Linked DNA regions of Tribolium castaneum. The protein of the gene in region 2 purifies or fractionates together with the protein of the main gene of each other region. This does not show direct contact. Links are inferred from orthologs where the notes say so. Each region holds a gene or a part of one and is shown on either strand. Other genes may lie near its edges.

Region 1 (2,862 bases), on a different chromosome or scaffold from region 2:
CCAAATTCAACATCGCCCCCTTGTCCCCAACGAAAAATGTCTATTCGCCGAAAAGCAACAACGTGGCGAAAAAAATCGGCAACACGACCATCTACAGGACGAAATCGCCAGCAGCCCCCCAACCGGTGGTGAAGAAAAGTCCGCCGAAAGTGGTAGCGAGTGCCCCCATCAGTATGCCGTCTTTGGACGAGGAACCGGTTGAAGGGCAACAGGAAGCAACAGTGGAGGGTGAAGTCCCGACCATGACGTTTGCGGCGACTGATCGCCCGATGTACATCACGGGAGATGATGGGACGGTTTATCAAGTGGCGGGGCAAAATGAAGAGGGGCAAACTATTCTTGTGACGCAAGATAGTGAGGGGCAACAGCAGTGTTTGTTGGTGACGGGGGAGACGGTCCAGGAGGCGGCGGAGCAGCAGAGTGAGGAAGCTACGACGCAGATGTTGATGGAGCAGGACCCGGAGGAGCCCCTTGTGGTGCAGTTTATGAGGGCTGAGCCTCCAAGTCCAGGTCAGTAACACTTCAGTGTGTACACTGAACGCCAAAACCAACCAATTTTATTTTTTTTTATAACTGTTCTAGCGCACTTTTTATATTGAATTATTCTCAGTTGGTAGACCAATATTTGAGGCACAAATAGCCAAAAAGGCGTTAAAAAATATCTGCTAGTTTCAGAATTACGAATTTTTTATTTTTTGACTTGGTCAATTTTTTTCTCGACTGTCGTAAGACAATTCATTAAATTCTTATAACTGTTCTAGTGCACTTTTTGTTTCGAATTATTCTCAGTTGGTAGACCAATGTTTGAGGTACAAATAGCCAAAAAGGCGTTAAAAAATATCTGCTAGTTTCAGAATTATGAATTTTTTATTTTCTGATGTTGCTAATTTTTTTCTCGACTGTCGAAAGACAATTCGTTAAATTCTTATAACTGTTCTAGTGCACTTTTTGTTTCGAATTATTCTCAGTTGGTAGACCAATATTTGAGGCACAAATAACCAAAAAGGCGTTAAAAAATATCTGCTAGTTTCAGAATTACGAATTTTTTATTTTTTGACTTGGTCAATTTTTTTCTCGACTGTCGTAAGACAATTCATTAAATTCTTATAACTGTTCTAGTGCACATTTTGTTTCGAATTATTCTGAGTTGGTAGACCAATATTTGAGGCACAAATACCCAAAAAGGCGTTAAAAAATATTTGGTAGTTTCAGAATTATGAATTTTTTATTTTCTGATGTTGCTAATTTTTTTCTCGACTGTCGAAAGACAATTCGTTAAATTCTTATAACTGTTCTAGTGCACTTTTTGTTTCGAATTATTCTCAGTTGGTAGACCAATATCTGAGGCACAAATAGCCAAAAAGGCGTTAGAAAATATCTGCTAGTTTCAGAATTACGAATTTTTTATTTTCTGATGTTGCTAATTTTTTTCTCGACTGTCGAAAGACAATTCATTAAATTCTTATAACTGTTCTAGTGCACATTTTGTTTCGAATTATTCTGAGTTGGTAGACCAATATTTGAGGCACAAATACCCAAAAAGGCGTTAAAAAATATTTGGTAGTTTCAGAATTATGAATTTTTTATTTTCTGATGTTGCTAATTTTTTTCTCGACTGTCGAAAGACAATTCGTTAAATTCTTATAACTGTTCTAGTGCACTTTTTGTTTCGAATTATTCTCAGTTGGTAGACCAATATTTGAGGCACAAATAACCAAAGAGGCGTTAAAAAATATCTGCTAGTTTCAGAATTACGATTTTTTTATTTTCTGATGGTGCTAATTTTTTTCTCGACTGTCGAAAGACAATTCATTAAATTCTTATAACTGTTCTAGTGCACATTTTGTTTCGAATTATTCTGAGTTGGTAGACCAATATTTGAGGCACAAATACCCAAAAAGGCGTTAAAAAATATTTGGTAGTTTCAGAATTATGAATTTTTTATTTTCTGATGTTGCTAATTTTTTTCTCGACTGTCGAAAGACAATTCGTTAAATTCTTATAACTGTTCTAGTGCACTTTTTGTTTCGAATTATTCTCAGTTGGTAGACCAATATCTGAGGCACAAATAGCCAAAAAGGCGTTAGAAAATATCTGCTAGTTTCAGAATTACGAATTTTTTATTTTCTGATGTTGCTAATTTTTTTCTCGACTGTCGAAAGACAATTCATTAAATTCTTATAACTGTTCTAGTGCACATTTTGTTTCGAATTATTCTGAGTTGGTAGACCAATATTTGAGGCACAAATACCCAAAAAGGCGTTAAAAAATATTTGGTAGTTTCAGAATTATGAATTTTTTATTTTCTGATGTTGCTAATTTTTTTCTCGACTGTCGAAAGACAATTCGTTAAATTCTTATAACTGTTCTAGTGCACTTTTTGTTTCGAATTATTCTCAGTTGGTAGACCAATATTTGAGGCACAAATAACCAAAGAGGCGTTAAAAAATATCTGCTAGTTTCAGAATTACGATTTTTTTATTTTCTGATGGTGCCAATTTTTTTCTCGACTGTCGAAAGACAATTCATTAAATTCTTATAACTGTTCTAGTGCACATTTTGTTTCGAATTATTCTGAGTTGGTAGACCAATATTTGAGGCACAAATACCCAAAAAGGCGTTAAAAAATATTTGGTAGTTTCAGAATTATGAATTTTTTATTTTCTGATGTTGCTAATTTTTTTCTCGACTGTCGTAAGACAATTCATTAAATTCTTATAACTGTTCTAGTGCACATTTTGTTTCGAATTATTCTGAGTTGGTAGACCAATATTTGAGGCACAAATACCCAAAAAGGCGTTAAAAAATATTTGGTAGTTTCAGAATTATGAATTTTTTATTTTCTGATGTTGCTAATTTTTT
Region 2 (4,519 bases):
ATAATACAGAAAATGAGCCGCTGAATTCAATGGAACAAACCGCATTGCTCTACGACTTTTAGTTTTCGAGTTATGAATTTTTTTAATGAATAAAATTTTTCACTAAGACAAATGGCTACCCTAAATTTAGGCAAAAAATTTTTAATTTTTAATTCTTGTGAAAAATTGATATATTATGTAAAATGAGCCGTAGAATTCAACCGAACAAACCGCAATGCTCTACGACTTTTAGTTTTTTTTTTATGAATTTTTTTAGTGAAAAACTTTGATCGCCTCTGTAGCCGGAACCGTTGCCCGGAGCGGCTCCGGGTTTGGACGAAAAAATAGATAAAATTAAGCGCTATCAGATGTTTTTTTGTTCGTTGCTCTAAGTCTTACAGTTTCCGAGAAAAACGCAAAAAAAGGTTTCCATTTTCACTTTTTTTCAATTTTCAACCGCCAATTACGGCGAAACTATTAGAGTTATCGAGAAACAGAAAAATGGAGGACAACCGGAATAAAAAACTCTACAAAATGGCATAGGACTCAAGGCGATATCTCGCAAAAAATTTTTCAATTTTCAAACGCCGATTACGGCCAAACTAAAAGAGTTAGGAGAAAACGCTTTTTTAGATCTGAAAGAGCACATCAAAATCTATAAGATAGAATCGGTTTTATTTGATTTAGAGACACTTTAAAAATTGACCGATTTTAAGGGGGGGGTGTTAACTTTTTTTTATTTTTTTTTATTTTCTCATTTCTGGCTAAAGTATTCGAAAAAGTGGAACTATTTTGATCCATACCTATGCAAAATGATCCGGGGAATCGATTGGCATCGAGAAAATTGCCAAATTCCCAATAGTTTTTTAGTTATGAATTTTTTAAAATTTTACCAATTTTTGCATTTGTCTCCAATTTGCTCGAAAACTATTAGTCGGAGAACAATAATTTTTTTTGAAAAAGATAGATAGTTTAAAGAGCTTTCCAACGATAATACACTTCATGGGGTTATCTCTGATAGTTCCGGAGCTATTGCTTGACAAAAGTTCCGGGTACCCAAAATCGACAAAAATTGCGACGAAAATTGAAAAATCAAACTTCTAAAAATCGAACATATGGACTTTTTGTGGACTAAAAACAACTTTTGTGGGTTGTTAAGACATATGGAAATCCATAAATATTGAATAGACTGTATGTTATGCAATTCACCCCCTTTCTCCTTTTTTTTTTTTTTTTTTTAAGTCCCACTTTTACGATTACGTAATAAGACCCTCACAGCCAGCATACAAACACAAAAATAAACTCACCCTTAGTTTTTGGTGGGGCGGAAATTCCGTTTTTTTTACGTTTCTGACGACTTTCAACATGGTCGTACAATTACAGCAACAACAGACAAAATAGAACAAAATACGGAGAGTTAAATCACATTAAGCCACTTTCATAAAAAACAACCCTTCGAAAAATAAAGCCCATATCTCTATTCCTAATTGACCGAAAATTTTTAAACTACTACCAACTTATTCTCCACTGCAAACAGTCCCCCAAACTAGAAAAAATAATTACAAAAAATGGAAAAAAAATTAAGGGTGGGTTTTTCAAACTTATGCAAACCCCATCGACTGACCCCTCAAACTTCACCGCCTGAACTGGACATTACAAAAACACTAAAATGAGTAGGTCTTTTATGGCTCCTTAATGAGATAGCAAAATGACTATTGAAAATTACAGTTTCAACCAGACCGTCGTTTAGCTTACATCAAGACGCATCTTTTCTCTCATAGGACAAAATTGTGACCAATGCTTAGTTCCCGAGATATTTAAAGAATTAACTTCAAATTCAAATTTTCGCGCCTGCGTTTCTTTCTGTGGTTTTGTGGTTTCAGTTTTGCTTCAATATGTTTTTAAAAGCACAATGCAAGGATTTTCTAAACAGTTTGAACTTAAACTATCAACTAAAAAAATAAAAATAAATAAATAACTTGTTTATCCCGTTTCCACTTATAAGAACAATCATCATAGATCACAATGAATACTGTAATAATCAAGTCTTCATTTTGTGTATAATTCAGTGCCACCAACTTAATTCTAAAATCATTGTCTTATACAAACATAGAAATACACGAATGTGGAAATTCAAAACATGGGTCAAACAAACAAAAGAACTGGAACAGATGACTTACCTTGTGCATTGAACAGGGGGCTGTCCGGCGCCTTCTTCTTGAGACTCTTGACCGCCGAGGCCACCGGATGCTTCTGTGCATCCAACAACTTGGTCAAAATGGTGATATTCATAAGCTGTGCCGTTTTATACAACCTATCGAAGATCGACAAGTGGAACTCCAACATCCCCGTGTACATAAAATTAACAATGGGCACAATCACATCGGCTTGCAGATCCGAAGGCATCATGATAACGTTCTCCTCAAGGGCACAAGTCTGCTCCAGAAACTGGAAGTATTCCGTGCAGGCGTTCATAACAAGCCGGTGCACTTTCAGCTGCACGTTCCCCTCGAACTGTAGAGTCATGTCGCAGTAGTCCGTCTTGCTGAAGAACATTTGCAGCCGCTGCAGGAAAAAAATGCCCCAATTGTCCACCCGGACTTGCTTGGTGTTCTCCCCCATCTTCGGATATAACCTCATACTAGTCCCGAGCCGGCCCTGGAAGCAAGCAGAAAAAACAAGTACAGCTCTGGGCTAGCTCGGCCAGCGGCGCATTCCGGGGGCTGGGGCGGCGGCAGGGGGCCTGGGGGCGGCTGGGGGCGCGGTACTCGCAATGTTTCTAATTCAAATTTACTGACCTTTTCCTTATATTGAAAATATTAGCTCCATCTCTACAGACGCATAAACATATTGGCGATACGCTACTACTTCTTTGTATTCGTAGGTGGCGCGGCCGTTGGTTGGTGACACGCGGGACGTTTGAATCTAACCACTGATTAACACTCAACCGGCGCTAATTCCGCAATTTAGCGGTTAATTACCACGTCACGATTAGTTTAACTCGTAGTTAGTGCAATTGTTGTAACAATTAAGGTGTGGTTTAGTTATTTGTGCCGTTTGGTGTGATCTGTTTTGGCGGCTGAGGCGATCAATGATTGGTGCGAGGTGGCGGCCGAGAGATGGTGCTCGGCGATTCAAAAAAAAGCGCTTGTATTAAATTGTAACTATTTATTGATAAAAGCAAAACAAATAAGATATCACAGGTTTCTTCTATGTTAACATGTTACAAAACAATTGACAAAACACAACTCTAACCGCAATAAATTAACACCTAACATATAAACATCGTAGGTACATGTAAAATTAAAAACAGTGTAAATCGTTCCTATTAAACTGTACATTGAAATAAAGGATGAACGTTTCAACAAGTTTCTGCCTAATCAGGATTACGAAGTTTCTAAAATTACGAAAATCGCTCAGTACCAATTCACAGCATTAGTTCCCAATCTTTTTTTTTAAAAAATCCTTTGATATTATTGCTAGACAGTGTTGGGCGCGTTGAACTAAAGTGGAATTATAAAATAAGTTTGTACTAGATGGCGATAAATTAATTAACTATTAAAAACAAGTCCCAGTTTACAATCATCGGTCCATTACACCAAAAACCCCTCGTGACAAATTGAGCTTATAGTATAAACGTGCGGACTATACATAGGAGTAGTTCCATTACCCTTATGGCAATAATAGATTTGGCAAATATGATGAAACAGCGCGGCCTAGTGTCGATACTGGGATGGTGGCAACAATATTTAAGTGAAATATTGCTAAATCTAAATTTAAAAGATTGAATACTGATCACATTCCTAGCACTGTTATTAACGTGGCTAACTGCTGCTGTCTCTGGAACTCGCTTCTTTCTGCCTGTTGTTGGGGATCAACAGGGTCGATAGCGCTTCCAGGGACTGTCTCACCTGAAACAAAAAAAAACATTATTATTTGATGTTTTTCAAACATTTGAAAAAGTGAATGAAAGTGAATGAAAAAAAAATTTATTTTGTATTTTCTTATTTACGAAACAATAATTCCTTTATTCTCTTCATTTTCTAATAATCATTGTTCACCTCACCCTTATTTCAATTTTTTTGACCATGTTTACAACTTTAGAATAAAAAAAAACATACAAATATCGATACTTTAATTACTCAATATCATAAAAATTGCAACACCAAGAAGGCATTTGAATTTTTTGACGAAACTAGAATAGAAGAAGATATAATCGGTTTTATTTGATTTTGAGACACTTTAAAAATTGACCGATTTCTAAGGGGGGGTGTTAACTTTTTTTAAATTTTTTTTTATTTTCTCATTTACGGCTAAACTATTCTAAAAAGTGGAACTATTTTGATTCACACCGATGCAAAATGATCCGGGGAATCGATTGGAATCAAGAAAAGCGCCAAATTCCTGATAGTTTTTTAGTTATGAATTTTTGAGTATATGATCTAATTTTTGCTTTTATTTGCATTTTCTCGAAAACTATAAGTCGGACAACAATAATCTTTTTTGCAAATGATAGATCATTAAAAGGGCTTTCCAACGA

The links.
Region 1: the proteins of Cp190 (region 2) and Chro purify together in Drosophila melanogaster (affinity purification with western blotting; 3 studies listed by BioGRID, with this or other methods). This does not show direct contact. The link is inferred for Tribolium castaneum from reciprocal best matches to the Drosophila melanogaster genes Cp190 and Chro.

Annotation. Positions count from the first base shown.
Region 1 is NC_087395.1:22,938,686-22,941,547, forward strand, and holds part of Chro (titin), read left to right. Parts: coding exon 1-510; intron 511-2,862.
Region 2 is NC_087400.1:882,662-887,180, reverse strand, and holds the start of Cp190 (centrosome-associated zinc finger protein Cp190), read right to left. Parts: upstream 2,928-4,519; 5' UTR 2,778-2,927; intron 2,638-2,777; 5' UTR 2,620-2,637; coding exon 2,160-2,619; intron 1-2,159. Other genes in the region: uncharacterized protein LOC100141873, read right to left, coding at 3,804-3,890. UniProt on the Drosophila melanogaster protein: Plays a central role in chromatin domain organization and boundary function through recruitment by a range of insulator DNA-binding proteins, including ZIPIC, pita, CTCF, su(Hw), cliff and others.